Linked DNA regions of Struthio camelus. The protein of the gene in region 2 purifies or fractionates together with the protein of the main gene of each other region. This does not show direct contact. Links are inferred from orthologs where the notes say so. Each region holds a gene or a part of one and is shown on either strand. Other genes may lie near its edges.

Region 1 (15,383 bases), about 1.7 Mb from region 2:
GCTCAGTCTATTCTGAGGAAGATGCACACAAACGACAGCAAATATCAGCTCACTTTTTAACCAAGGAAAGCTGCCTAAGAGAAATGTGCACTCCCCTTTTCCCAACATTTCTACTCTTCCAAGGATTTCAGCAGTCCTTGCAGTACTCGAGTTTTGCATGCTCCAGTTTCCAGATCATCTTGTTTGTCTTCTGTACAGAGCAGAACATCCAAGTCTCAAGGGTAAAATATTCTGCACCAGGATACATCTGAAGCCACGCTGACCAGAGAACACACACACTGGTATATACTGTAGCTAAACAGCGGGTTGTCAGGCTCCTGGCTTCAGACCAGCCAAGGACTGGATTTTTTTTTTTTTTTTTTTTTTTGCTCTTGCAGCCTGCACCCCACCTCCCTGGCACGCGTTTGGCAAGCAATGCCTTACCTGTTGTTGAGCTTGTTGCTCTTCAATGAAGTGTGAATTTGCTAATTGCAGCTCCCGATCCAGGCGGCTGTATTTGTCAGGTCCAGAGCTCCAACTCTGACTCCCACTTTCTCCCAGGAGTGCCTAAACAGATGCAGAAAGCCCTTAGCTAGACCTTTGTGTCTGCTCACAGCCCATCTACAGCGTGGAGTGGAAAGTGGATAGAGCGATACTCTTGTACAAACACATACAGCAGCATCCTTTTCCTCCCCACTCTACTGATATCCAGCCAGAGCGCTGTCAAACTAAAACAATGCAGTGCCAACCTGGGAAAACTGTGCAGCCTGATTATTGCAGATATGCCACTGCAGCAACAGGCGAGCTGGAGTATGACTGGCAGACAGGGAGAGAGTGTAAGCAGGACATCTACAAAAGGCCAAAGTCTGCTCAAGGTGTGGTAGTGTGCAAGGAGGACATATAAGCTGGGAAGCATCCACATATTTAGTGTTAACAGATGTAGAGCATGAACTGAACACTGTGCTAAGAATGACTAGGGCTTAAGAGGGTCTGGATAAAGTACTTAATCAGTTGAGCACGATAGTTGACGGAGTAAAACAGTGCAATATATGCACAATGCAGTGTTGTATGCAGGGCTCGGGTTCTTTGATTCAAGTTGTCTGTTCCTGCTGCATACCATTTAGTTGCCAATATACAAGATTACACTTGCTTCCTGCTCTGTAGCCTGAATGGAAAAGCAGTGCAAAGCCAATGGAGAAGCAGGCTTTACAGCTGAGTCAGTCTGGCCCCTGGAACAGGTAATATGACCGACAGATGCTGGAGAATCATCTATGGCCAGAAGGCGAGGAGCTGCACCATGCAGCATTACTAACAGGTTAGGGAGCTTTGCCCACCAGTGCAAGAGGCAAGGCCAACTCTTTAAGAGCGGTGTAGGAGGGTGAGATGAGCAGCTTTTGGACATGGGCAGCTGAGGAGGAGGGGACGATGGCATCTTTGTGAAGAGCAGCCAGACAAGGACCGGGCGACTAAGACAGGTTAAACGCGAGACGGGTTCTACGGTTCATCTGGTTTATAAAGGTCAGGGAGCGCAGAGAAAGCCGTGAGGGACCAAGCAGGAAGCCAGACAGACAGCTGTTCTTGTCCACCCCCGAGACACTGGGCAAGTTCCTGGTTCTCTCCAGTTTGGGGCAAGCCCTACTATCACTTACTTAACAGTGTGCACTAGCTTTGCTGCAGCTTCAATAGCCTGTACTTCCCAACCTTAGCTTAGTGATGTGAGAGTCAAGTCACCACCAGCCAAAGCCAGCCTCTCAAACACAGAGGCGCTCTGGAGAACGCCTTGCAGCCCAATACAGCTGTCTGAAGTCTGAAGGAAAGGTGAGGGACTGGAGAAGGGAGAGGAAGACACCAAGAGGAATCTGTTTTCTTGAACAGATGTCACTGCATGAACTGGACCTCCTACAGCGAGCAGGAGCATCAAGGAAAGGAAAGCAGCAAAATGCAGAGACATCTACAGACTTGTCCGAGCAGGGGTATAAGGAGTTTGCACCTTCAAGTGTTTGCCACGCATGTTAGTTAACCCTGTAACAAGCTCAGGAATTAGCTCTGTCCTCCTCAGCAGCTTGTTCCAGAGTTTGTCATTTTTGCCACACGTAATAAGATCGATCCAGTCAGAAAAGTCTGCTGTATCAAGCGCACACCAACTTTTACAAGAGGCAGCTTTGGAAGTCGACTTGGAGATCTCCTTACAATTTCCCTGTCAGCTGGAGGGGAGCACATGTTGCATCTATTACTTAGATTGCAAGTGCGGACAACCTGAGACTCCTTGAACTTCTTCCATCCTCTTATGAGGTTAACTATTATGAGATGCAGCTATTTGTAAGGATATATAGCATCCTGGCTCCTAAGTACAGTAGAGCACAGGATTACTTGTACTGCCTTGGATTCTGACTCTGCTCCTCCTGCGAAGGAAGGAGATTCCCTTTCCTGAAGAGTGATGCAACACTGACAGTTGTACACGGTCAGTTCTGACGACAGAGACAGATGGTGAGTGGTAACCGGTTACTTTGAGAGACTGGTTTGGAAGGGAGTGACGACAATGTGCCTGCAAGAGCCAGCTCTCTCGTGGGCTCTGGAACGACAGGCCAGCAAAACAGACACAGTTCAAACACACGGCTTTGTTGCAACATGTAAGCCCCCCTTGCCAGCACAAATGTTTTTAGGCGAGGAGCTACGAAACAGGATATATTTTGTAATTACAGCTTTTAAGGATTTTTGTTCAACACTATACGCTCTACCTTAGGACGTGGGGCCCCAGAGTAAGTGAAAACGAAAGTTTCATGTGACACATACCTTAAGACAACAGCTGCTAAAGCTGATAAATCCTCCTCAAACTTTAAAGTATCAAAAAGGCTATGGCATTCATTTAACTTGCCTGTTTCTGAGTCTTACCTGCCTGTTTTTTCTTTCAGCCAGCGCTTGCATGGAAGAGTTTGACATCTGATCCTTCATTTCCTGTTTGTTCAAAAAAGAAGTAGTATGTGAGCATTAGATTTGAGATGATAGGCGGTTTCAGTTTGCTACAATGCTGTCTATACCCAGCGAGATTTCTTGCGGGGGTGGATTTTCCTTACAAACATATGCAGTTTTGAAGAGCCTGGAAGGATGCTGAAGAAGGCTCCATCATAGTTCATAGTTTTACTAGAACTAGAATCATTTGCAACGGGATATTTTGAAAAAATTCCTTATTTACTTTTAGTGTTGCTTCTCCACAGAGAGAAACACTTTGATTTGTATAAGATTAAACTAATCTTCCCATTAACAGACTGTAAAGAAGAGTTATGTTCTTGACCTGAAGGTGTCGGAAGCCTGTAACCTGCACTTTGTTCCCAGTTGCCTCTGGTTTAACATGGCATAGGCCACGATAGATTTCTCGTCCTATGGCAATCCTCTCTGACGGTGCCTAGATTTCTCTCCTATAAATTAAAGTTTGTTCTTGAAACATTGTAGGAGCTGGCTAGTCAAAGAAGGATCCCAAACACTTTTTAAAGTAGTCCAGTTCTTATAGGATAGATTATCAAATAGTTAGTATGAGCTATCAAAGTTTGATCCATCTCATCTACCAGCACAGTTCTGATGACACCAGAAGATGCAGCTATGTTTTACTGTTCAGACATGTGCAACAGATCTTCTAAAAGCACCTCACTAGCTAATGCCTGTGCTGCTATGCACCACAAATTCCTCCTGTGGAAACTGGAAGCCTCCTGGAAAATGCCACTAAAAAATTTCATTTAACAGTAGGAGACATCGCTCCAAAATCCATTAGCCAGCAGTTTGCAGCCTGAGAAAGAGGACCACAAAGCAGGCTTGCCTGTTCTTCCTCACCTGGGAAGTGTACTACATAGAGGGCAAGTCAGCGAGCACATGCCCGCTACCTGGGGCTGGTGCGGTTTCAGGATCCGTTCCCAAGCAGCAAGCTTTAAGAACTGTATCCAGACCACAGCATTACAGGTAGGATAACAAGCTTGCTTCCAGCCAGAGCAATGCCTTTTATGAAGCAGGAACATCCAAGTCATGAGGGACAGCAGAAACTAAGCCATATTGCCAGAGAGTGTTATATTAATACAGAGAAAACTTCCTACGTTGCAAGTATCCCACTGAATCTTCACTGTGCTGGGAATGAAAGGGCAAAGTGGGCTTTGCCAGGCCCACTTCTGTTCGAAGGACTGGTATTTAAGGGAGTGAGCCTGAACCAAAAAAAACTTCCCAAAGTCAAAAATAAAAACTAGTGGCTGTTCTGACTGTTTTGTAGCAGTAGGAAGTTGAAGTCACCATGTAAATAACACTAGTAAGTGTTCAAAGTGGACTTTCTGTTTTTGAAAACTTGTGACACGCAGTTAAAGGAAACAGTAGCTGTCCTTTACTCGAAGGGAGATTCCAGTTTCTCCTGCATAACAGAGGAATCCTTAGCCTTCATTTCCAGTTTTTAGGCATTTCCAGGCTCATCATTACAAGAGACGTTTGAAGATTTAAAGAAGCAGCTGAAAGGGAGGAAAGCCAGGTAGGGGATGCAATGAGGTCTCCACATCCTTGCTGTGCCCCTAGCTTGTCTGGGAAGCCCCTGGAGGGAGCATACGGAGAAGAGGAAGAAGCCCAAGAGAGAGCAGGTAACAGGTTTGTCCTCTACTGCGGGGGAAACCAGTTTCCAGTTCAGCACTGAAATGGCCGCAAGCTTTCTGCTTTCCCACCGAAGTGGCCCCCCCACCCCAACGCTTGTGCCCCGTTCCTACCTGAAGCCCACGTTCCTTACCCTGACCACCTGCCGCGTGCTTGTGATGAAGGTTTTCCGTATACCCAACTCCGTTGCATCGAGGTTGAATTTCCGAGGGTTTGCCTCAACAATGCGTAGAGAACAAGTCAAGGAATCACTGTTTGCAGGGTGCAGTACGTACGCAGATAGAGAAATCCTGACCACTGAGAAGTCTATCACGCGGTATAGCGCCTCCATTTACCTGTGCCTTTTCCCAACATTCGATTAGCAAAGTACAAGACACTAAAGGAAAAAAGCACGGCTGCAACATACTTTGCAGAACGCACGAGAAAGAAACCACACGCTCGTGTGGTTTTTGGTTGTCTGATGCTGTGCAGCACTTTCAGGAGTGTTCAGCCGAACACAGGGAAAAGGAGTATTTCTGGAAGCCAGCCTCGAGTAGGACTGACTACACAGAAATCCAAGTTCATTCAACAGAACAGTTTTCTGGGAAGAAAGCATCTTAATAGACACCTTTTCAAAAGGTGAACAAAAACGCAGAGGGAAATTCGTGCGCAGAACCTGTTTTGTCATCTTCCTCTCTCATTTGCAATTCGAGAAAACCTGGGGTAAACTGAAAATTCAATCCCGAACAGTCTTGGTTTCTGCAAAAAGCAACTACTGGCGAGCACGAGCACTTGACTGTTTATTGCAAGGTGTGAACTGCCTCTCTCTACCTCCAAAGACGGCACCAGCAGTGCAAAAAGGATATTAATTGTTTCATCCAGGTCTTCCAAGTCCCACTCGATGCTCCGCAAATTGTTCCTGAGCTCATTAGTGGTCCAGTCAATTTCTTCTCTTGTGGCTATAGAGGGATCTTGCAAGAGCTCCGTCCACCTCTGGAAGAGCCCCTGGGCAGTATTCACTGCTTTCTGCACCTCCCTGCAGTCAGGATAATTAAAGAGAAGTGAAGGGATTATTTTTAGTTGTTTTGCCGCAGTCATGCAGGGACAGTCCCATGTCCAGGAGAGCAGGGATGTGCAACCTCCTCCCAAACATCTTTCCTTCAAGTATTTTTGGTTTATTTTGTAAAATAAGGATTCACCACGCTTCTGGACAAGCTCGTCTCCTTTAGTGTTGTAGCATGAAGTGCTGAGCAACAACTCATAGTTCAGCTACCGGAGGTTTCTGTTCAGTGTCACAAACAGCAAGATAGGGCAGTGCAACTGTCTGATCAAGACTCTTATTTGGCAATTATTATTTTGCATTTCTCCCAACAGCTTTCCTCTAAAGACTGTTGACTACCTAGGCAAGATACCCCAAGGGCAAACAGAATTAGAGGAACTGCCCCCACGTTACAGTCATGCAGACTGTCCAGCGCAGCACTGTTTACTTTAATTTAGCATTAAAAAAATACACGGCTCTACTGCACTGGCTTAGCCAACAGAACTCTCTTCTGCTGCTCTCAGCTTTTTAGAGAAGAGCGCATTCACAGCATGGGAACATAGGCTTTGCTGACAGCACTGAACGCTGCATTCACGGTTTGGGGCAAGAGGGCAGGTAACTGTCGGTGTGATTATCCATACGTACAAACACTATGGACCATTCTCTTGGGCTAACGGCGAGTCAGGACGAGGCAGACAGACAAGACCAACGCCAGCGAGACTTTGCTGGCTCTTGAAAGGTGGCCACGAATCCAAGAGCTTGCACACAGGATCGTGCAAGGGGCGCTGATCTCCAGTGAATCAAAGCAGTTTACCAGTTGGAGAAGCCTAGATGGGTGAACCACGTCCTCACCCAGCAGCCCTCGGAGGGCCATTGGGCTCCAGGTCTCTCTACATTACATCATTATGCTGAAGTCTCTGCACCTTGATGTGTGTTCCTCCTCTTCTCGGACATTTATGGCTCAAAGAGTCTGTTGCATCTACTCCCCTAAAGTTAGCAGCCAGGACTAAGGATCTAGTGTGGTTTGTTTCCTCTGTTACTTGCTAGGCAAAGTTTTGGGTGTTTTTTTTTTTTTTTCAAATCTGAATGTGCTCGAGGAAGTCCCTACAAGTGGAAGTCTAAAGCGGAGCTCGATGTTTGCAGATGGGAGGAGTTATGAATGAAAGGAAAGCAAATTGAATGAAGCACGGCTGGGCTTGAACACCAACCCCTTCCACTGCAACCTGCAGGAGAAGAATCAACACCAAAAGCGGCAGCACATCCCCGCTCCCCTCCCAACCCTTTCCCTCACAGCGCGGGGAATCTCTCTGGAAAGTCTGACAGGACGTTTGCTCCCCACCCACGGCCTTTAGTGGGTTTTTGTTGTTGTTGTTGTTGTAGTTTTGTTTCCCATAGCACCAGTTCAACCTGGAAGAGCGATTCGCTTGCGTTCGCCCCCTGAGCGAACTCCGGCTGGTGCCGCGCTCCTCCCGTTCGCAGCAGCTTCCTCCGAATCCCTCCACCGCTCCGGACGGCCGCTCGCGTCCCCACGGCTTCGCTGCGACACGGAGCCGGACAACCGGCTCCCACCAGAAGCGGGGAAATCACCCCGGCCTGCTTCTTAAGAGGTCAAAGGTGCTTCGCCCCTCTTCGTTAGGGTTCCCCTCGCCCCCTGCCTCGACCGCCTCCCTTCCGCGGCCCTCCGCGCCGCCCAGCCGCCTGCGAGGGGGTGGCCGCCAGCCTCCTCGCGCCGCGGCCGCCTCGCCGCGAGCGGCCACGCGCGTCCCTCGCGTGGGGCCGCCGCCTCGCCGGCCGCCCTCGGGGGGGTTCCCGGGGCCGGGGGGGGGGGTCCCTCCTCCCCTCCCGAGCCCCTGAGCAGCAGCAGAGGGGGCGGCGAGGCCCCGGCCTGGCGCACGGGGGCGGGGGGTGGTGGCGGCTCGGGGAGGCCCGATCCCCCCCCCCCCCCACCCACGGAGGGACATCCCCGGTGTGGCGGCGCCGCCGCGCAGAGGGCTCGGGCCCGCCCCACCCCCGCGGGACCCCCCGCAGCCGGGCCCCGCTCACCCCTTCACCACGAAGAAGGGGTCCTCCATGGACATGGCGGCGCCGGCCCCGCTCCCTGCCGCCGCCGCCGCCACCTCCGCCGCCTGAGCCCGGGCGCCCCGCGCGCCCCCGCCCCGCCCCGCCCACGCGCCTCGTCACGGGCCGCGCGCCTGCGCCCAGCGCGCGGGGGCGGCACGTGACGCTGCCCGCCCCTCCCCCCCCTCCTTGCGCCGCGCGGCGCCGTGTGGCCGTTGGCCGCTGTGGTGGTGGCGGCGGCGGCGGTTCCCTGAGGGAGCGGCGGCCGCTCCCGCCGCTCGGCCCGGCCGCCGTGCTGCGCTCTGCTCTGCCGGGGGAGGAACGAGGGGAAGGGCCAGCCGGTCCCTTGTGCTCGCGTGGCCCTTCGTGGGGTGCCCCGCTCCGGAGGGCCCGGCCCGGCCCCGCGGCCGCTGGCTGAGCGAGGAGCCCCTGGCTCCCCGCCTTCAGGCTCCTCCGTAGCCTCTCAGCCTCCCGGGCGGCTCTGAGGGATTGGAAAGGGCTGTTGCTGCCCGTGGCAGCCCCGAGGCGCTGGCACCGAGAGGAGGGACCCCCGGGCAGGCCTGGGGCAGCGTCCCCGCCGCCCTCCTGGCAGCGCCCGGCCTGGGCTGGCCCTGCGAGGCCCGGGGTGCGCTGCGTCCAGCGATCCCCCCGATCGCTGCTGTGTTCACCAGAGGGTGTGGCCTGGCCGCCGCTTTCCTCGTGCGGTTGCAGTCCGGTGCCGATAGCGAAGACGGTGCTGGTTAGCCGAAGGAATAGGTACAAAGCCTATCCGTAGAGATGCTTTCTCAGCATGTGAAAGGGATAAGTCGCTTTTGCAATCGCAGCAGATTTACTCACGAGCGTGGGGTGGGAAGGCTGCGGCGCGTGTAAAACTGGTTTCTTTAGTTTGCCGAGTGAGCCATCCGCCTGCTGCTTTGGCCAGCCCCGCGCTTGGAAAACCACCGCTTCTCAGGTGTGGCGCAACTCGCAGGAGCGCTAGGGCTGTGTTTGCGGCCGCTCCTTGCATCACCTCGGATGGCTTGTTTCCCACGCAGGCAGGTTTCAGGGGATTCCCGCGAAATGTGCTGTGCTGAACATGCCCTGTGCAGAGCTGGAGTTGCCTTGGGACTCCGAGAGCACTCATGGACAGGAGCGGAAAGCAGAGTGCCAAGGAGACACTCGCTCAGTTACATCTGCCCCCCGAAGCCCTTGTCCTCCAAGCCCCGCAGTCCTCCTGTGATTTCCACCTGCGCTTTGCACTCTTCAGGGCTCCCATCCCTCCTCTCCAACTTCCCCGTGCCCAGCTGCCAAAGCTCCTCTTGTGCAATACTTGTTTCTGTCCCCCCTTCACTGAAGTCCTCATGTTACCTGCAAAATAACCCCTGTTGCCACTACCCCTCGTGCTGCACTGCGGCCCTAGCTGCCTGCTCTAGCGCCTTTGGACTTCTTGCCTTTCTCTGGAAATGCCAGCAGGCTTGAGCTGACCGTAACTTTTGGATGGAGGAGGGACACCAGCACTTTTCCAAGCGGGGAAAGAAGAGCTTGGGCTGGCCTGGAGCTGCTGAGCCATTCTGGATTCCTCCTGTCTGCCCTGCGAGAGATGTTACAGCCAAGGCCTTGCTGCCGTGTGGTGCAGCCAAGAGGTACCGTGCTGGCTTTGCTTCAGGTGCTGGGGTGCTCTGCAAAGGCAGAATTTCTCAGGGCAGTGCACCTTATCTACATACGTAGTACAAACAGGCTCAGAGGGTGGCGGGTTGTTCCAGGAAGTACAGGACACCGTGGCAGAGACACAGCTCACGTGTGTGAATACACACCCTCCGCTGTGAAACCTTTCAGAAGCAGCCAGTCGGCAGCTCGAAGCGTGTCGTAGCCTTGTTGCTGCCTTTTCAGCGTCTCCCAGGGAGTCGCTCTTCGTGCTTGGACTTGGTTGTGTTAATTACTTGGTTGTCTGCTCGTGCACTCACAGAGATGGTGTATGCTGAGCATCACACCAAACGCTATCTTGGTTAGATTTGTTCAAACGCTTGTAAAAGTCTGGCAATCTGCAGCTCTTTGCTGTCAGTGGGCTGAGGCTGCGCCGTTCAGCTCGCTCACGTTGCAAGTATCCCACTGAATCTTCACTGTGCTGGGAATGAAAGAGCAAAGCTCTGGTAGCCCCTGAGAGTTGCTAGCTGGGAATTTTGGAAGTCCTCTAATAAATTACGTGAAACCTTTATTCACGTCGCTTTAGGGAGAGCAAGCGGCTCTTACACCTTTGTGAAAAAGTATAAAGCTTCGTGGTGCTGTTGAGGGCTGAAAATAAGGAGGCACTTTTGAAATGTAGGGAAAGTGCAAACCTCACAGGAAGAAAAAAAGGCAGCCTTTTTTATGATGCTGGGAATTGAGTTAATTTACATGATGTCGTAAATTCACACACAAGAAAGTCAAATTGCTGCTGTATTTTTTTAGGATGGAAGTATTTTTGCTCTGTTTCTTGTGGGAAGTTCCGATCTTTTACTTCGAAGCACTAGGGAGCGTTCTGGTGGCTTTCCCCACGCTCAGCTAACCTATTTCTCCACGGGTGAGGAGCGCTCTGTGAATGGCACACGGCGCAGCTGCAGAACTGGTCAGGAAAGATCTGATTAAACACTTTTGTGCTGAAAAGTGCCAACTCATCAGAATCGAGACCGTCCGCAGAAATGAACTGGGTTCACTGAAACTTTTATCAGAAGAATATTTGTGACAAGTGTATACATGTGTGTGGGGGAGTGTGTCTGATCCCGTACTAGCTACTAGTCTGGTGTTAACAATATGCATTTGACATGGAAGAGATGGCTTTTCCTTCTTGGGGAAAAGCTGGATTTGTTTAGATTTGGATTTGCAAAAGTATAGGGGATTTTTTTCCCCATAGACAAGGCTTTACAATGAAAGGAAGAAGCATTAAAGGAAATAAGGTAAATGAGTTTCAGATGCTTCCATGTGCCTTTCTTCCTTGTTTGCATTTTTAGTAAAAGTTGTTGAAGATTTTCAATGGTGGTTGTAACCGGAGGATTAGGCCAGTGATAACTTGACACAAAACACTAGTCTGTGGTTAAACATTCAGTGCTGTGGTGGGCTGCAAGAGTGTGCACCAAATCCTATCCAGGCATGGCCCCTCTGCATTCATAACTAGCTTTTCTGAGCCTCATTTTTAGACATCACAGTGTGAGGTTTTATGGTGACTTCCCTCTAAAACGCAAAGGGGGCAGATGGCACGAGGCCTCTACTGCGCAATCGTGTGTCATGTTGATATCGGTGACTCTGAGGTATTAAAACAAAAAGGTCTCAAGGGGTGCCTGTTCCTTGCCAAGAGGAAGGCTTAAATGCTGGGTGCTTCCAGCCACACGTGCTCAGCCAGCTAGAGATGAAACCTGGAAGGTACCAAGCTGCCCACAAGTTTACGAGGCAGCTGAGAAATGTCAGTAACTCAAAGAGATCTCTGCCTTCCCAGGGCACAAAATAGAGCCAAAGTGGAGCAGGTGAAGGCCGCAGAGGCAATGGCTACCAGTTCAGCAAGGTGTGAGAGGAAGCAGCTAAGTTACAACTAGCTCAGTGCGTGGCAGCGCTGATGGAGTGGGTTTCCTTGGGCTTGCAGCCTGCAGTTGGATTTTCTGGTATCTGGGAAGGAGTAAAGCCCGACTGAAGCTTTTGCCGTGGCTGTGGCTTTCCTTATGTTGCTCTTCCTTGCGGGTTCTCTGTTGTCTAACAAAAGCTGATTTCATGCTGTAGCCTTACCCTCAGTTGGGGTAGGAATAGTGAAAGGCCTGCCTGTATAGACACTGCAGCCCCTAAGTAGGCAACCAGAAAAAGAAGTTCAAAATGCAAATAAGCATGGAATAAATGAGCAAATGCAAGGTAGTAATTCATGGAGGATGCAGGATGACTATTCAGAATAAGGGTTGTTTTGGAGAAAGTTAATTTTCCTCTTCATAGTGCATGAACAATTGGTCATTTAATGAAGATGACAATGGGAAATGAAATTGAGCAAAGAAGGTGTTGCCAGAGCGAACCTCGGGAACTCACTGCCACAAGATGCCAATGATGCCGAGAGCTTACTCAGATTCAAAAAGAAATTAATTACGTAAGTAGTGAGGTGCCAGATCGCCGAAGTCGTCATTATGTTTTTCAATCAGTGACAGGACAGGAGGTCAGGCTGATTCCAGCTGTGATTTAGATAGTGGAACGGCAGTGGAGCATATTAAACAGGACATCTGCGGCACCCACGTGAACGCCCAGTGAATCTGTCCCCGGGCAGAAATTAGAAGGACCTTTTCCTAGGCAGCCTTACTCCATAACCGTTTCTTGCTCATCATCCTGCTGTCCGAGGAAGACTGTCCTGAGGCATCCTGCCAGGGCTCTAGGCTCTGTCCGAGGGCAGGCAGTCGTTTAGTCGGCCTCGCAAACCAGGTCAGCTGTGCAGAGGGAAAGGACAAAGTGGCCAAAGGCAGGTCCCTACAATGGGAGAGGGCCCCAGATCGAAAGGAGCAGGGAGATCAAACCCTGCTAGCAGGCACAGACACTTTCTTTTTCAGTTTCCCTTTATTGTGGGAAGAGAGGTTTGACACAGGCATGATCTGCTCTGTCCTTGCTACTCTTCTCAGGCGGTTGCTACTCTGAGGAGGCGAAAGGCTCCCTTCTGGCTGTTTTTGGACTTTTAATAAGCGCTGTGTGTGATGGATTTTGCTGGCAAGTCCCAAGGACCTCAGTCCGCCCTTTTGCTAGCAGAGAACTGGAGCAGGCAATCTCTTCCAGGGATAACAGGTCCATGACTTGACAGTGTCAGTATACAACCTTCCTATCATGCTTAAATAGGAAGCAGTCGAACAGAGGACACATCTGCGCTCTGGGATGTACATAGGGCTGCAGTAGTCGTTTGCCTGCCAGCTAAAAGGAAGGTGACATTGAGATACGGGGAGAGAAAAAAATAATTAGACTGTGACTCCTTTGGGCACACGGTCTACCCCACGGTTCCCTGAATTGGGACTTTAGTTGACTCCATGTGGAGTTCACGCAATTAACGCGTGATATTTAACCCTGTTTTGGGCCGTAGGTGATTGCCGCTGAGGCTGCCTCCTGTTTAGCAAAGATAAGTGCATCCCTCAAGGCCACAGCTGCGGAGCAAATTGCTCCGGCAAGAAGCACTTTGTTGCACGGCTTTCAGTGAGCTGGAAGCAAAGGCTGCGCTGGGCAGCTGAAGACCCGTCTGCCAGGCTGTAAGCAGGGTCCCTGGGCTGTCGTGTTTCTTGGTTGCTGGACACAAGGCAACCTCCATCTGCGAAACTGGGTTAGAGAGAGCACACAGACCACGGTCCTCTGCACTTCTCTGGAAAAGACACAGAAGCCGCTGCAAGCATATCGGAGAGGAAAAAAAATACAGGAAGGTAGACTACAATAGAAGGGTTGTCTGATAGGAAACCCCGGACAAATAAATGCGTTTTTTCCCCAGGAAACCAAAGCAAATTCCATAAAACAGTGAAAGATGTGGGGCCAGATTTTTCCAGGGGAAATTGCTGCCTGAAGAAGCTGATAGCTGGGAGTGGGAATTTTTTCCCCTTTGTGTTTGGAGAGGTTGCCGGAGGAGTAGCAGCATTTTCTGAAGGGCAGGGGGTCTGGGTCACGGGTCGCCAGGGGAGGGGTGGGAAGTCCCAAGCCACTGGCTCAGAGTGAGGGAGGGGACATCTTAAATCATTTGTGCAGAGAGAAAAGGGGGAATCCCAGGTCACTGATGAAGAAAGCTGCCTGGGAGGGAGGAGGGAGTCCTGCCTGCTTGGGGAAGGAAGGAGTAGTCTGGAGCATCTACGCTAGCTTTTCAGCGGACGAGAAGGGGGTCTTTAACTCTGGAAAAACCCCTTTGCTTTCGAGAATGCTACTCTGCTGTAATATCACGCTCTGCTGTGGTTTCACGGGCAGGTGTATTAGCACTCCGAGAAGCTGAGGGAGCTACTTCCTCCCTTTGGTTTTAGGTTTGTATCGATTTGTTTGTATTTCACTTGTGTGTTGTGTTTTGTTATCATTCAGCAGTATTTAGTGGTTAGTGCTGTTTGCCGTGTTTTGGGGATGATTCTGAGCTCTTCTAGCCTTATCTTCAAATACAGAGAAACCAGAATAGTTGGGAACCCTGAGAGATTGGTTATCGATATCTGACTGCAGCGGTTTGAGACTGCATCCATGGGAATTATTGATTTTTCTGGAAAAAAAAAAAAAGAAAGAGAACGAAACTGACGCCAAACAAACCTCCTCCTCCTCCTCCAACCTGTGTGGGTCTCTCACAGATGGCTCATTTTCAGATGTCTGTTATTCCTGTCTAGAAATGAACCCAGAACCCAGGCTGTGGCTATGCATGAATCTGCATTTTGAAATGTTACTCTCTGGCCTTGTAAACTTTTGTCATCAGTCCCTGAGGGATGCAGCCTGGATCTCCTCAGAGGTTTAGTTGTCCTGAAATTGCATTTTTACTTGAACAATCTGTTCACGGGAAGGATTTTGCCCCAACCCAACTTCTGGTGAGAGACATGTGTGTGTATCGTCCCCATCTTCTTCCTGGGAAGAGTCTAGCTCATGAATCCTGGTCTGTATTGAATAGAAAGGGGATGTGTCCCAGCTCCCGAAATGGAGCTGGGACAGCCAAAAGAACTGTTGAACAACTCCAGCTTGAGCCTGCGCCTTGAAGAGACCCCAAATTTCACTGGCAGTCCTGGCTGAAGGATTTTCCATCTCTTTGCTGCGACTCGCTTCCCCCTCGGGCCCGGGCCGCACATTTGGTGGCAAGCAGTGGGGCAGGAGATGGGAACGACTGGCTAGTGGGAGGGAGCTATTTACCGTGGCGCCGCTGTCAAAACAGGATCTTGGTAACCACATCCTCAGCTCCACCACTGCGACAGGTTAGGGAGGCGACGCTGCGAGCCAGATGGCGGAGGCGATTCGATCCAGAGCCACGTTTCTGCAACGTGGCTGCGCGACGCCTTGCGCTCGCACAAGCCGGAGGGGGACGTTGGGAGCAGGAGCGAGATGCTCGGCCCAAGGACCCTGCAGCTCTGTTGTAACGTGGATAAGGCGCTTTGACGTTTTGTGTTCCCACTGGCTCAGTTGCTGGGGAAGCAGCAATAGCAATAAAAAACTGCAATAGCTGTCCGACTGCAGGCTAACGTAGACAGAGCAGCTGTCGGGCAGCCTGTGCGTGCTAGCGCTCAGCAGCAGCAACCCACGCTACGCTTGGCCCACGTTTTACGGGGCCTCCCAGCCGAGAGGCAGTCGCGTGAATCCCCGCCGAACTTCCCAGCTCTGGCCTCCTTTGCTGGGTGTTGAAGGCAAATTTAAATGACTATTAAAAATCAGTGGTGTGTGCAGCCCTCTGCAATCATTATTTGCACCACAAGCTGTTTCCTGTCCCGAGCCTCTTTTATCTTGCATTGTTTTTCTTTCCAGGTGGGGCTGTGGGCTCCCTACTGTTTAACCTCCTGGGCTGCCTCGGCCAGCGCTCCCGGCTGCAGCTCGCTCGCAGAGAGGCCACCTTTGTCTGCGCGCCCACTCTCCCTCCCCCTGCCAGCGAGCTATTTCAGGAAACAGCAGCTGAGCTGGAGGATTGTTAATTGTTTGTCAAGCCCCTTCCAGCCTAGTTAGATCACATGCGGAGATTAGAGCGCCTCGTCACACCCTTTCCTCCGCCTCCTTTTCCTATCCCCTCGTGACCCGGCGGGAGGGGGGCCGTGCCCCT
Region 2 (15,664 bases):
ACAGCTGTGAGGAACGAAGCAGTTTGTGCCTCCCCTGAGGCTTCCTCATCCTTGAAAGGATAATATCCAGCAATGACGCCCAGCAACACAGTCTCAGCATCATCTCTAAATGAAAGCCTGGACTACAGGACCCACAGCACACCCATCCTCCTGCAATGGGCAGCCGGGCCCTGGAAAGCAGCCCTCAACTCTTGCCTTGAGCCATTCCTCAAACTCTGCCCCTTCTCAGTAGCTTGCAACTTGTACCCAGAGCAAGTGGAGGCAGGGTTGGGCACCCGGCCACCCTGAGCAGCGCGACAGAGAAGTCGCAAGGACCGAGATCTGGCGGTGGGTACACCGCACCAGTGTGCTGAGCTGCATCTCCAGCACAAGCAGGAATGCTAATCCAGCAGCACGGTCACCTGAAAGGGGACAGGTCAGTGGCGAACATGCTCTCCAGGAACTCAAGCAGTGCAGAAAAGGGAGAGATTTTGGTAATAGTGCAGAAAAGATGACCTGCGATGACAGACTCCTACTCTAAGTAAAAGAAACTCAGGTGGAAGACAAACTTCCCCCTTCGCCAGCAAACGCACTGACAGCTCTCACTACACACAGTCAGGACCTCTCATAAGGCCTCTAAGCAGTGGCAGAGAAGAAGAGAGATCAGCTCTTTTGTTTTTTTAACCTGTTTGTTACAGCTGTTTGTTTTCCCCTGTTTGGGGAAAAGGATAAAACCCTGATAAAAAATACCTTTCAGCTCCAACCCGAATAGCGCCAGGGATGGGGAGACATCAGAGAGGCTAAGGGACCCCACTTAGTTACATGGGAGCTTCCAGTCCAACTGAGCAGCTGTTGGGACAACAGAGCCTGACCCTCCAGGCATATCAGCGCAAAAGATGTTACAGAGGGGACTGTCACACTTCCTACGATTATCACCGGCTCTAGCTCCTCTCTTTCCCCTCCAAAGTCTGCAGTATTCTCAACAATCGCTTCCTGCAGCTGAGCCAGCCCTGAGGGTCTCTGCACAGCTTTGCTGCCAAGAACAGCAAGAAAAAGTTTTCAGTCTTACCTCTCAAACTGAATATGCTCCACACCTTTGCTGTCACGCTCCCATCACCTCTTCCTCTGCCCAGTCCCCTTTTGCACCTATCTTCACGTTATTCCCTCCAGCCTTGTACAGCTCCAGTCTCTCTAGCTTTGCCCAACTATGCCTCAGCTCTCCAAATACTCAAATTTCTCCTTGAAACGTATTTTCTTTGTAGTACTTCAGCAGCAACCCAACACTCTCTCCTCTGCTGAAACAAGAGAGATCTGTACCATTATGAGACCAGGCATCACCCCATCCAGCACAAAGGTCAGTCTGATCAGAAACGTAATAATAAGCTACTTGACAAGAAGTGATCACTACATACTGCAAATGCCAACCACCTCTGATGAAAGTAGAAAATAGATACTACTGCATATGGCCTGGAGAGCCTAGATACATGTAGCCGCTTGTTCCCCCAAGGGAAGGTTTAGGAACATTCCTTAAAGCAGGTCCAGACAATTATATGGCTGGACAGGCAACCGCCAAAGCTCATATATGTTGGATGTTAGTCACATCACACCTATGAACTAGCTGTACAACCTATGAGCTCCTGGATTAGTTCTTCTTTCATGTTACTTCCCCTTCATAGATGTTGTGCTATCCTCTGCCACCTGGAAAACACACTCTTCCTTGGCTCCCACAGACTCCCATGACTCCTCTACCCAAGGCCCTGCTCCCTTCTGGCTGGCCAAGAAAGCGAGAAGAGAAGAGCTCTTGTTTTCCTCCACCACGCAGGGAAGACAGAAGACACTCTGTGATCCTTCTCTGGAACAGGAGGACTAAGGGGTAGGCATTACCCCCTCTCCACTTGGTTGCAGGGGGGGTGGGAAGGGGAGGGAACACCACTCTCACAGATGACAATTATCCTTCCCCCCTCCCCCCCCCCCCATTTACTTCAGACCAGTGTGGCACTGCACTAGAAAGGAAGCTTTCTCCACACCAGCTTGCTATAACAAAGAGTTTGGCTCTACTAACAGCATCCTACCGCACCAGAGGGAGCGGAGACCCCCTGTAAACTCAGGGCAGAGTGACCACCGCCCTGTCTCCTCTGTAACTCAAGTGCACCTTGTGACTCAAGATAACATGGTAAGCAGGCACACGACCAAGCATTGCCTATAGCTGACGTTGGCAATGAGTCATTCCAGAGCTGTTTGGGCTTCTTCCTGGCGTGAAAAAAAATCCCAATGAAGAGCGACTCCAAGGCTGCAAGCAAAATGACCCAATCTGTTAAGCACCTGGTCATCAGTTTCCCACAGATTTCTATTTTGGCACTGGGGCTGCAGGCAAAGGAATCAGCATAGCACAAGCAAGGTTCAGCAACCCAGGGGTCTGTGAATATCCTCTCCCTTCCACTAAGGGCCACCATCACTTTCCTAATAGGAAACTGTGGGGCAAACTGGAGCTCAGCACAAGCACCATCCAGGAAATGACTTGCTGGGAGAAGGATCCAAGGTGTTTCCTCCTTCCTTCTTGCCCTATTACCAGGGTGTTTGTTTCTCCTCTCTTACTCTGTTGCAGCCAGTAATCCTCCTCCAGCTGTAATGGTTTCCTGTTTGTCCAGCTGCTTTGACCCCATTGAGTCATTGCTCATCTCTAAGTCATCCAGATAAAGTTTTCTCCTAGAGGAGAAGAGGCCAGAAGACCAGCAGCTGCCCGAGAAAAACAGTCCTTACCTATTCCTGACTGCTCATTTTCTTGAAACATTGAGGATGGAGTTCCAGAGTGAAGGAAGAAGCAATGAAACAATAAAAACAAAGGGTAGATGAGCAGTGAGCTAGCCCAAGTTTAAAATTCAGGGTTAATGCTCCAGAAAGACTGGTTAAAAACACGAAATAGTTTAGCACCAGAATTTAGCACCAGAATATAGCATGGGCTTCGGAAACTCCACAGCGCTACTGGGCTGCAATCCTATCCCTTTGCTTGTATTAATGCACAATTCCTGGATAGCTTGAATCAAATTTGGGATTTCCCTTAGCTGAAGACAGGTAGGGCAGGAAACCACAAGGAGGAGAAACAAAGCACAAGCCATGCTCATACTCGGAACTACACAGGCATACTCCAGTAAGAGAGCAGCAGGAGCTTGTAATGTCAGAATAAAATATTATCCATGTGACACTGCGGAACAAGAACTTACTGCCTGATTTTGTCATTCCTGGGTCCAAATCTCGGTCCGGACGGCCCTCTCCTGTAAGCAGGAAAGAGAGCAATAATAAGGGAAGATGCAATGAAAACATATATTTAAACCAGAGAACTCAAAGATCGGCCAAAGAGAACCAATGCCTTGTGGAAGGAGGCTTGTTCTCATGCCCCTCATCAGTCCCTCCCATATCTTAATATGTGGGGTGCCCCAGTTTTACACAGGTCACACCTGCAAAGTCTTCATTCATGCTTGCTGCCAAGGCTCTGGGAGATTATCTCCAAGGAATCAAAGGCTTTGATAACAGTAAGCCCTCACCTGTTTGGCAAGGAGCAGCTTTTGGTTTTCAGCACCTGCAGTCTCAGATCTTTAGTTAGTTAAGACATCCCATTCCCTACAACACCCATGCAGAAACTCACAAGAAAAAGTCTTCCTCTTCATCTGAATCTTCCTCTAAAAGGTTCCTCTGCAAACACAGAAAAAACCCATCGCGTCAATAAGCATCCGCCATTTCACACACACGTTTCCAGACCTTAGGACACAAGCACACACCTCTAAAATACAGGCTGCTACGCAGCTCTGCTTTGGGACAACTCTCACATCACTGCCATTGATCCAAAGCAGGTTCGCATCAACTGCCAGGTTCCTATGTAGCTTCAGATCCTACTTCTCTTCCAAGCATCCGTATACCTTCCCACGATGAAGTAAGCGGCCAGTCCACCAGTATGTTGAACCCTGCCTTGGAAAACAGCAGGCAGAGTCCCTGCTCATGCCAGCTGGGGTGGGAAAGCCCTCTCGGCTCCAGGAAGGATCCAAAGCACTATGCTCAATCAGAAGTAGCAGCTCAAAACTTCTGTATCACCTGCAACTACCTGGAGTATCTCATCCACATGGAAAGTCGGATCTATTGCTGATTCAGAGGATGCTGTTTTTGCAGTCATCTGATGACAGCCTATTCAAGGAGGACAATAACATTGAAACAGACTCTGGCCTCCCCTATACGCCACGTCCGGGCGGGTTGGCCCTTCCGACCTGCACAAGGAGGTGAAGGCTGCAGACAGAGCGGAAAGCAGGAGTGCTCTGCTACCTGTTCTGATTCACACTGAAGGACTCATCCTCCTGCACATGTCTTCCCGTAACGTTCAGAAGGGGACAGGATTTGAGAGAACAAATTCCTTTTTCCTGCCCAAACGCACATCCTGATTCAGGGACCACGCACATCTCCCGATTTGCTCTCTTCAGCAGTTCATTGCGTTCAGATTTGCTGTTCCACCACACCTCACCAATTGGTACAAAGGCTGATTTTTAAAGTCAGCCTCACAATCCCACTTGCACCCAAAAGTTTTGGGCTAGGAAGGTATTATGAGAGTTCCTCTCTCATACCGTGGCAACAGGAATTCACCACTCAGGCTGAGGGGTCCCAGTCACAGATGCTTAGGATTAAAAATAATCAAGAGGGGATGTGGCACCCTACGTGTGTGGGCCCAGCAACACATCAGACTCTATCGTTACGGCACCAACAGATGCTGCTTCCCCCATGCATAAATTTGAGCTCCCACCTGCAAATGCAATGCTCTTATTTTGAAGCCTACCTACGTTTCAGCTTTGTCATATTTGCTCAGTCAGCTTAAGCAACCTGTGAGAACATGCATGAGCTGAAGCCATCACTTCCTTCAAGGGATGAGTGAACTGCTCTTGGCAGCACAGGATCCTCATTTCACCGACAGGGAGCAGGAGCCGGAGCAACGTTTTAGACTACAGCCAAAACTTGGTTTCAGCACTGCACGACCCCAGGATGGGCACATCAAGGTGAACGCACTTAGCCTGAAACAGGCAAGTGTACCATTTTGACCCATATTTCAAAGCCTGGAACGTAAAGGGACCTTAGCGACAGGAAAAAAATTCATCTGTAAAGCAGAGCACCACACTGTAACTTCACACGAGCCTTTCAGACAGCTATTTGGGGAAAGAGAGCTGCGACGTGACCAGGACAAGCTTTCCCTAGAGGCAGCTCCCATCAGGAAACAGGAGCACACTGGGTTCTCGCAGTGGTAAATGCGACCTGAAGGAATTGAAGCAAGTTCTCCAAACAGACACCGTTTGTTGGAGTTGGTTTTGTTTTTAAAAATACAGAGTAAATTAACTGCACGGAGAGTCCCTTCATTATCAAAATTTCGTTATCAACGGTGATATTGGCTTCTGGGACCTGTTGACCGAATGCCACGGTAGCACAAGCCCTTTCAGCAAGGGGAGCTATAACTTACCCTGAACTGGCCTGGCAGCTAACGGCACAGGGTAACTCAGGTAAATCTTGGGGTTCCACCACAGGGCAGGATCTTCAGAATTGCAAAAAGGCCAATTACAGAAAAGCGCTGCGAATACAGCAGAGCGATTCCAGGAGAGGAGATCCGTGCTGCACAGCCTCCCTCGACCCGCCAGCTCTGCAAACACCACATCACATAAGCGCGCTGCCTAAGCAAGCACCTGCCAGCCAGCCTGTTAACACCTACCCACCTTCCGTAAGGAGCGCCGCGGGGGCTGCTACATAAATAACAGCCTACCTCGGCAGACGACAAACGCCGTTTCGTACAAACATCGCAAGGTAAACCGCAATCACCTTCTTCCTCCCAAACCGCGGGAGCATCTCAGGTGACAAACGCAGAATAACAAAATCGCTCCATCAAGGCGCGCGAAGAGAGTTATGCCGCCAAAGCTGTAGGGGAGTCACAGCTGTCCGAAGGACAACACCTTCCTTTAAAACGCAGTACAGTCCAGGTGGCAGCCTCTGGAGGGTGCCCACGAACGCGGGGCAGAGGCACCAACGAAGCGCCGGGGCCCTGCCGGGGGCGCGAGGCCGCTAGCGCCCTTCTCAGAAAAGGGGAGAGATCCCAGAGCACGAACCTGCCTCCCGCCCCACCAGAAAGCCGCCCGGCAGCCCACGAGAGGGAACACAGACCCCACGGGGCGGGGGGGAAGGTTTCCACGGGGCATCACGGACACGGGAAGGTGCATGCCCGAAGCACCACCTCGAGCTTCACCCCCGTAAAACGCCTCCCCCGCGCCCCCACGCGAGACGGGCAGGGCTCCGCGGGCCGCTTACCCGCTCGCTCTTCACCGAGCCCGTGACCTCGTCGTCGTTCAGGTGCCGCTTGAATTTCGGTGGCATGGTGGTGAGGGCGGGGGGGGGGGGAACGGCGACGGGAGCGCACCACCCTGGAAGGCAACGCAAGGAGGGTCTGCGACCGCGCCCGGGCCTTGGGCCGCCGCCTCCGGCCTCCGCCGCGGGCAGGCGGCCGCGGGGCGCCGGTCGCTGCTGGGGGGGGGGGGGGGGTGAACCGGCACCGGGAGCGGGGGGAGCCGCCGACTCCAGGTGCCTTCGCCCCTGCCGCGCAGTACCGGCAGCGTCGGCGGCGCCCCGAGAGGGGCGTCCTGCCGCCGGCTGCGCAGCGAGCCGCCGCCGCCACCCCACTCCTCCCCCCGCGCTGCCGCTCACCGGGCTCCGCTCCGGGCCGCACCGGCGGGAAATGGCCGGTGCCGCGGCGGCGAGTCAGCTGGCCCATCGACCACCTCGGCGCGCCGCGCCGAGCGCCGAGCTATCGATCGGCCACGGGCGGCGGGGCGGGGCCAGCCGAGGGGGCGGGGCCGGCGGCGGGGGCGGGGCCCCGGGGGCGGGGCCGGCGGCGGGGGCGGGGCGCCGTGGCGGCCGGGGGCGCGTTGCGGCGCGTGCGGCTGCGGGAGCGGTCCCGGGTCTCGCTCGCTCAGACTTTAAGCGTGTATTTCTTTTTCCTTTTTTTTTTTTTTTTTTTGACTTGCTGGGTTATTTTCCAATGAATCGGGAAACAAACGTAGGCAAAGCCTGCCGGGAGGGCGGGTTACCCTCGTCTCGAGCCTGCCCGCCCCCCCCCCCCCCCCCCCGCCCCGGGGCGCCCCTTGCCCAAATTCCCTTTTTTCGCTTAGGTCGCTTTCCGTGGCCGTCTTAGCGCCGCTGCAACCCGCAGCCTCCCGCAGAGCCGCCCGCGCCCTGTTTCCTGGCTGTGCCCTCCCTCGCTGCTAGGCAAATAATAAAAAAAAACACTCAATAAACAAAACATCATTAAAAACCTAACGGCGACCGCACGGGGCTGTTTGCGCGGGGAGCGAAGCCCCTCGGCTCGGCCTCCGGGCGCTGCAGCCGGCACCCTTAACGCCTCGTGCTCCCCCCTGGCAGGGGGCCGGCCGGCCGGACACCGCTGCCCTCGCCCCCCCGCCGGGGCCGCGGCTGGCCGCGGGAGCCCTGGCGCGCTGCCCCGAGAGCAAATATTTTGGCCGCGGGCTGCCGGAGGGCGGCCAGCGCCGCCGGGGAGGCCGGAGCCGGGGGAGGCAGGCAGGGAGGGAGGGAGGACCGCAGCCCCCCCGGGACCGCCGGCGGCCGCTTGGCGAACGCCGCAACCCGGCTCTGGAAGTTTCCTGCCCTTTCGCGCCGCCGCGACCCTCTGCCCTCCTATAAATGAGCGCGGCGGCGGTGGCGGCAGCGGCGGAGGCAGGCGGCTCCCGGCGCGGAGGAGCTGACGGGCCATGCCGGGCACCCGGCTCCTGCTGCTGCTGCTGCTGCTGCTGTTTGGGGGGGGCCTGGCCCCGGGGGCCGCCGATGACGACGGCGCGGCCGCCGGCCGCTGCACCTACTCCTTCACGGTGGCCAGCCCCGGCGAGGCCGGCTGCCCCGAGGCCGGCGACGGGCGGGAGCTGCGAGCCGAGCTGGCCGCCCTGGCCGCCCGCCTGAGCCTGCTGGAGAGCCGGGAGGCGGGCGCCGCCGCGCCGGCCCAGAGCCCGCGGGTGCAGAGCGCCCGGCCCTCGACCCCGGCCGCTTGCGGCGACCTGCTGCGCGCCGTCTCCCGCCTGGAGGAGGACAAGGGGCGGCTGGAGCGGGAGAAGGAGGAGCTGCGGCGCCGGCTGGAGAGCAGCGCCCGGGAGCTGGCCCGGTTGCGGGCCGCCCGCTGCCCGCCCCGAGCCCGCGGGTCCCCCCGCGACGCCCTGCACGGCTCCGGCCAAGGTAAGGGGACGGGGTGGCGCTTGGCACCTCGCTTGGCTGCCCCCCTCGCCCGCCGTCCCGCTCCCGGGGGTGGTGGTGGTGGGGGTTTCGGGGTGGCCGTCTCCCCCCCCCCCCCGCAGGAGCGTGACACCCCGCAGCCGGGCTGGTTCCCACCCGCGCTGCCCCTTCGGCCCCCGCCGCAGCCTCCCCGTGGGACCCGCAGACCATCGACTACCAGGAGCTGAAGTCGGCCCGGATGGAGGTTCCCGCTTCCCACCTGCTGGAGGAGACGGCGCCGGGCCGCCCCGATGCCGAGGACTCGGGTACGGCCGTCCCCGTCCCCGTCCCGCGCCCCTCGCCCGCCCGTGCCTTCCCTCGGCCTCCGTCCTCCCCGCCGCCCGCGAGCAGCCTCCCTCCTTTATCCGTGGCCTTCTTCGCCTCGTGCCCTCCTCTCTCCGTCTTCTCCTCGGCTTTCCCTGCCCGCTCGCCATCCCCCGCCGCCAGCACGGGGCCCGTCTCCAGAGAGGTCCCCGGCCCCAGCTCCTCGAGGCGGCGGCGCTGGGGGCTGCTGGGACGGGACGCGGGTGCGGGCGCCCTGCACGACCCTCGAAACGGGCAGCGAGGCAACGCTGCAGCCTCCGAGCAGGCGAAGCAGCACCCGCGCGGTCAGCCGACCGGGGGCTCGGGAAAGGCTGCCTCCCCTCGGGCAGCGGACCCCGTCTCCGGAGCTTGCAGCCCCTTGGGGAGGCAGCATGGAAAAAACATAGGATAACTCAGGCTGGACCGTCCCCAAGCGCCGCGCGGGTGCAGCGTCCAGCCCGACCCGGCTCCTGGCTTACGTCTTCAGCGGCACCTCGTGAAAGGGCTCCGCGGGCTCCACCGCGGCTTGTAAATACCCCTGCAGAAGCGAAGGTCCCTCTTTTCTCCTTCCCCCTCCTCCTCCCCAGCGCTCACAGCTGCCTCTCTTCCCTCTCTGTCCCCAGGGCTCCTGCCGGGGCCAGACGCAGGGAGCTGCCCGCGCGCCGCGCCGCCGCGGCTCACAAACCTGGCTTTGCCCTCCCGCTCCCTGCCCCAAAGGAGCTTGCTGGGATGCCGCTCGAGGACCTTTCCCCACCGCCACCGCTCGCTCGCTTGCTGCCCGGCCCCTCTCGGGAGACGCCGCCCCCGCCGGCTGGGGCCGCGGCGGAGCGATAACGCCTTTCTTTCCCTCCCTGTCCCCCCAAGCAGGCTGCGGCGAGCTGGTGTGGGTGGGGGAGCCCGTCGTCTTCGGCCAGGCGGACTCCATCGCCGGCAAGTACGGCGTGTGGATGAAGGACCCGGAGCCCGTGCCCCCGTTCACGCGGGCCACCACGTGGCGCGTGGACACGGTGGGCACCGAGGTGCGCCAGCTCTTCCAGTACGACGACGCCGAGCAGTTCAGCAAGGGCTACCCGGCCAAGGTGCACATCCTGCCGCGGGCCCTGGAGAGCACCGGCGCCGTGGTCTTCCGCGGTGGCCTCTACTTCCAGCAGCGCCGCTCCCGCCTCCTGGCCAAGTACGACCTGCAGGGAGAGGCCATCGCGGTCGAGAAGGAGATCCCCGGCGCTGGCTACCACGGGCAGTACCCCTACTCCTGGGGCGGCTACACGGACATCGACCTGGCGGTGGATGAGACGGGGCTCTGGGTCATCTACAGCACCGAGAAGGCCAAGGGGGCCATCGTGCTGTCCAAGCTGGACCCGGAGACGCTGGAGATCCAGCGCACTTGGGAGACCAACATCCGCAAGCAGTCGGTGGCCAATGCCTTCATCATCTGCGGCGTCCTCTACACCATCAGCAGCTACACCGTCCCCAACGCCACAGTCAACTTCTCCTACGACACGGCCACCGGCACCAGCCGGCCCCTGAGCATCCCCTTCGAGAACCGCTACCAGTACGTCAGCATGGTGGACTACAACCCCGCGGAGCGGCAGCTCTTCGCGTGGGACAGCTTCCACATGGTCGCCTACCCCGTCCGGCTCGCCCGCGCGTGAGCAGCGCGGGGGGCGCGAGGAGGACGTGCCGCGCTCGCTCACGTGAAGCAGGGGCTCTGGGGTCGGGGAGGGGGACGGCTGAGCCCTCACGACCCCGCGCGCGCACACGCACCCCACCCCGCGCTGCTCCCCAGCTTTCCCCGAGCGCGGGCCTGACTCCCGCCCGCCGGCAGAGCGCCGCCGCCCCTGGGAGCCTTCGCCGAAGCTGCCCCTACTCCGCTCGACCGCCCCGGCGCCACGAACGCGTCCGCTGGCACCTTCTGCAAAGCTGGGTCACGCTCGACCGCGGGAAGACGACACAACGTGCTTCTCCGGCGCTCGGTGGAGCCAGCAAAACGCTCCTCCCTGGGCTCAGCAGGTTTGGACGGGCGGCGACGGCAGGACAACTCCGTCCTCCGCAGCGGGCCTGGGCCGGCGTGCAGCGGCGCCGACCTCCGCGCAAGGAGCCGTTTGGGGGAGCTCAGCTCAGCCCTGGCGCCGCTCGCCGGCACCGGTTTGGAGCAGGGATGGCTCAGACGCAGCGCGGGCTCAGCAGAGCAGGATGGAGCATCCCGCCACCACCTTCCCGCCGCCCTCGGCCGCATCGCTCTAGACACCCTCGCGTCGCCTGTAGCCGCCCCGCGCTGTTTTAAGAGCATGCATTTTTAACTATTTATTGTAAAAATGCTGTAGAAGGGTGATTCCCCCCCCCACCCCCCGGCCCCTCCCCGGGCGCCTGGGGGTGGGCGCCAGCAGCCCCGACGCAGAGGGGCACAGCCTGCCCGGTCCCGTCGCAATAAACATCACCCACCCGCCGCAGCCCGCGCGTCCCTCTTTCCAAGCTCCCGCAGGGCGGCGGGAAGCGGGGCTGCGCCGTCTGCGGGGTTTGGCAGGCCCCAGAAATAGGGTTCGGCGGCCGGGAAACGGGGTGGGGGGGGGCAACGCGCTGCGTTAAAGCCAGGCGAGGGGGGTGGCGCTGGCGGCCGGATGAAGCGGGGGCCCGGCCCGGAGCGTCCCTCCGGGACGCAGGATTTTTTCCTTTTGGCCTCCATCCCTGGCAGCAGGCTTACAACGAGGGCCGTTCCCAGGCCGGGGCCCCCGCGGGCCCCCTGGAGCGGGGTCCGGGGTGAAGGCGGTGGGAGGCCTCTCGCTGCAGCGCTGCTGCCGACCGGTCCCCCCCCCCCCCCCGGGCCCCGTTCTAGAAGGGGGGAGACAAGAGGGTGGGGGGGGGACCCCCACGGTGCAGGCAGCCCCGGCGTCACGCGGGCTCCCCCGGTGAGTCCCCGAGGCGCTCGCAGCCCTCCCGAAACGCCTTGGTGAGGGGGGGTGTGGGGGGTGGCCGGCGGCCACCCCCTCACACCGCGACTCCTGCTTGGCAGGCCGGGAGAGCAGGGGGGCCATGCGCGCGGCCAGGCAGCACCGGCGGCTCCCCGCGGCCCCCAGCGCCCCGGGGGGACTGGCTGAGCTGGACCGGCGCCACATCCCGCCGCTCGCGGCCAGCCGCGCTGCCTTCTCCTCGGGGCAGCCGGGGGCCGGCTCCTGGGGGCCTCGGGGCTGCGCCATCTACGCCCTGCAGCGGAGCGGCGGCTGCGCCCAGGCCCCCGCGGCGGCCGGCCCGCTGGGCGCAGTCCGGGCCCCCGCGCTCGGCGGCGATCCCTTCCCCGCGCTGCTGCTGGTGTACGAGGCCCTGCCCGGGAGCGGCCCGGCCATCGACCGCAGCCCCGGACCCCCCGTCCCGGCCTGCTGGGCTCTGTACGCCCGGGCCGACGTCGGCCTGCGCTGAGCTGCGCCCGGGCTCGGCCCCTGCGGGGAAGGGGCACCTACCAATAAAGCTGTGGCTGGTCCCAGGCTCTCCCGGCCTTTGGAAACATCGCCGTTACCCCTTCCCGGGCCCCGGCAGCAACATCGTCCCCGGGGCAGACTTGCTGGCAGAGGGTCCCTTGGTCCTGCTCCAAAAAGCCACCGCCGGGGGCGGCTGTGTTGCCCTGCTGAGATGAACGATGGCCCCGGCCCTCCCCATCCAAGGGGCAAAGGCAAAGCCAGGCTGAGCGACGCCTGCCGCGAGGCACCTCCGAGCCAGGCTGGCCCGAGCCCCCGCAGAGACCGGTTAACGGGGTCGTTCCTGCTGCAGGGAACTGGAAAACACAAGGTCCTTACCCAAAACAGACAGGGGGCAAGGGCAGGCGCCCACCTCCGGCAGGAGGAAGCCTCCTTTGGCCCCAGGCGGTGCAGGTCTGGCCCCCTCCCTCATGCTCCCATCTCCTCCCCAGCCACAGCAGCGGGACGCGGGGCAGCGGTGAGACAGCGATGGCTTGTTCAGAAATCATCGCAGGAACACCAGCGCTAGTCGAGACACTGAACCCACACAGACCCAGCGCCCCGATCTCTGCCAGCTCCTGGGTCTTCTCAGGCTGACAAGTCCATCATTTCATTGACTAAGAAAATAAATGAAGACCAGCCAACGTACACAAGATTTCCAGAAAGCTGGGCTTGAGCTGAGCCCTTCTAAATACACAGACTTGCTTTATAGGCTGTTCAGAACAAGCCCAAAAGAGAATCCATCCCTCCCCCTCCCACCTCCCGATGAGCAGAAAGCACAGCGCTGAGCACGGCTGCTGGATCTGACCCCGGTCACATTAATTCCACTTCTGCTCTTGCCTGTGGTCTTTTCACAGACTGAACTTTACAACAAAGTTAGAGAATTCCCCAAACAAAGTAGTTCCCTAATTTAGGGGACGTTCTCAACACAATTATTTGTGATGACTAGACAGCCCCAGAAAAGAGCTTACACAGCAGATCCCACTCAAAGGAAAAAGCAAGACGCAGCCTAGCTGGAAACGGCCAAGAGCAAGTTATCTAGGCAAATATCACAAAAATATTGAATGAACTGGGGTCAGCTTTGACTGAATGCTTAGCTTGGCCTTAAAAAGCCACGGAGGTGGTTCAAGGCTATTTGGGAAGCATACATCAAAATGGCTTTATTCAGATGCGCTACATCGTCAGACGTTTGCTTTTGATTAAGTTTTTGCAGAAATATCCTTGTTCTGCTAAACACAAGTAGTAGCTGAAAGCCTAGCACATTCCCACTGCAATATTTGGAAAACTTATCTGACTTCTCTAGTGGCTTTACTACAGAACTTGAAATTAATCCTTTCAGCAGTATTCTTTTTAATTACAGAAGAGTCCAGGGAATGATTTTGGACTTTTAAGGGTCTTTCCCTTCTCAAATAGGGAAGCATCAGCATAAAGCCACAAAATCAGAAAGAGCTCAAGTGATGGAAACGTTCTGAGTGAGTACACCATCATCGTACCCTATTTTTAATACACAACTTGTTTACCGTTAAAATCATCTTTTGTAGCACATTATAGATCACACCAATGTCTAAAAGTTTACTCAGTTCTCACACCTTCTTCCTCCTTTGAGGGTTAACTGTACTTGTACCGCTCCTGTAGGAATGGCTTCACTTCACCTGTGATGTTACCTACTCAGAGGTAAACTCTGCCCAACTGTTGCTCCATTTTCAGATTACAGCATCTGTGGCAAATTCATATCGCTGCAATACTATTAGTAACGCACTAAAAGAACCAACATCAGCAAGACAACTCTAGCTCCTCCGGTGTCCCCACATCATCACTTCCAGTCCAGCCAAAGCGCCGGCCAAGGTTTGCTTTGCCACTGCCGTACAGCTGTCTGTCTGCAACGCCATCGGAACAAAGGCAGATCCGCACTGCTACCACCAGCAGTTGTAGAGATATCCCAGCAGAAGTTTCTTATTTCCAAAGAATGCATATAAATGAAAGTATCATGTCAGCCAGCACCTATTCTCAGGGCAGGGACTATTTCTCAGCATTTAGAGACCTAAAAGAGAAAGGCTTCTGGTCCTTATTGTGAATCAAGAGTACCCTCTGGTGGCCAGCTGAAGAGCACAAATCTTTAACTGATCACACCTTCCCCCTTCTTCCACTTCATGATTGCCCATCTCACACAAACCCCATGCAGAAAGCCACATGCAAACAAGGATGCCTTCACCTGGGCAACGGAAGGACTGCTAGGATGTTTAACCCTTCATTACACCCAGCAGGTAAGGGTGTTCCAGGAAAAAAGCCAGCAATTGTGTGATTTGAATCTTTTATTGTTGCAAGTGTTTGTTCCTTGGCTAGTTTGTTTAATTTTGGCCCTGCACCAGTGAATTGGGAATGGAGCAAGTGAAGGGTCCTGGGCGCAAAGGGCAGCACCAGGAGAAAGGTGTGCTTCCTCGGGAGTATGCGTGTCATGGCCCACTCCTGCTTCCCCCTGCGGGAAACGGCCACCTCTTGCTTTTAACAGCCCCTTGCTGTGCGGGCTGCCTGAACGGCCAGCGTTCGTACTCACACGCAGGCCAAAATCTTGGTTCATCCGGGTCTCCTCCAATGAGCTGATCTTCTCCAGGAAACAAAATACAACTCTTAACACCAAGCAGGTTGCCAACGTGCCAGAAAAAGGATCGTGTCTTGCAATGCAATTGGCTAGTAGCTCCTTCCAGAGCTGGAGGGAAGCCACGTGCCACGGGACCTTCACTGGAGAATGGGATCAAGAACAGTGAGTGCAGGGAGAAACAAAAACAAGCTGTTTCACAAACTGTTTTCCTTTACAAGTCTCTTGTCCCAAGTTGTAACACATACTCTTCACTTGGCACATGATATTCAGGTGAACTGCTTGCATCCTGTAGCGTTTAGCTAATCATGAGATTACCAGGATACTTTATTTAGAGAATACTTTATTAGTTTCTGTAATCAAACCCATGTAAATAAGACCTTACATATTTAATACAGTGCGTTACCCCTGTACAAATGGAAAAAATTAAGTTTAACATTTCTAGACCAATATGGCTGTTAATTTCTGTACAATGCCAACTCACACTACAAGTGGGATACTTTTTTCCAAAAGTTGACATCACAGCTAAAGTTTCCAAAAATTCAAATTATATATATATTTATATAAAAAGATAACCAATAGCGATTCACTAGGCATCAATAGCAGCAACAGCCTTTCCAGCTTCTGCAGTCATTTGAACAAAATTATACACATTAGACTTTCAACTCACTCTTCCTTCCAAAAATGTAAAAAAAAAAAAAAAAAAAAAAAGAAAAAAAAAGAAAAAAAAAGAAAAAAAAAAGATATCCCAGAAAAAAACAGCAAATTCTGCTACTGATGTGGTACCTGGTGCTTTTTATTAGCTTTTCAATCATTGTCTGGAAAAAACCTCTAGAATAACATTATTAAAAACAGCTCCAGTATAGCACAGTCACTACTACATATCATAAGCAGGTACAGGATATCTTACATTCACAGAAGTATCATACAGTACTGTCCTACAGCTATAATACTAGAGGATACAATTAAAAAGGCATTATTTGACTTGATTCTACTTTCCAGCACACTGTGGGCCAGGAGGTGGTGCGACGCAGCTCTGATATAAAGA

Evidence for each region.
Region 1: the proteins of VAMP4 (region 2) and STX6 purify together in Homo sapiens (co-immunoprecipitation; 5 studies listed by BioGRID and IntAct, counting the BioPlex papers as one, with this or other methods). This does not show direct contact. The link is inferred for Struthio camelus from reciprocal best matches to the Homo sapiens genes VAMP4 and STX6.

What each region holds. Positions count from the first base shown.
Region 1 is NC_090949.1:6,927,235-6,942,617, forward strand, and holds the start of STX6 (syntaxin-6), read right to left. Parts: upstream 7,768-15,383; 5' UTR 7,693-7,767; coding exon 7,658-7,692; intron 5,612-7,657; coding exon 5,442-5,611; intron 4,825-5,441; coding exon 4,730-4,824; intron 2,935-4,729; coding exon 2,872-2,934; intron 547-2,871; coding exon 424-546; intron 1-423. UniProt on the Homo sapiens protein: SNARE promoting movement of transport vesicles to target membranes. Targets endosomes to the trans-Golgi network, and may therefore function in retrograde trafficking.
Region 2 is NC_090949.1:8,654,432-8,670,095, reverse strand, and holds the start of VAMP4 (vesicle-associated membrane protein 4), read right to left. Parts: upstream 6,820-15,664; 5' UTR 6,764-6,819; coding exon 6,697-6,763; intron 6,417-6,696; coding exon 6,304-6,416; intron 3,670-6,303; coding exon 3,623-3,669; intron 3,252-3,622; coding exon 3,201-3,251; intron 1-3,200. Other genes in the region: MYOC (myocilin), read left to right, coding at 7,758-8,232, 8,415-8,534, 9,436-10,223. UniProt on the Homo sapiens protein: Involved in the pathway that functions to remove an inhibitor (probably synaptotagmin-4) of calcium-triggered exocytosis during the maturation of secretory granules.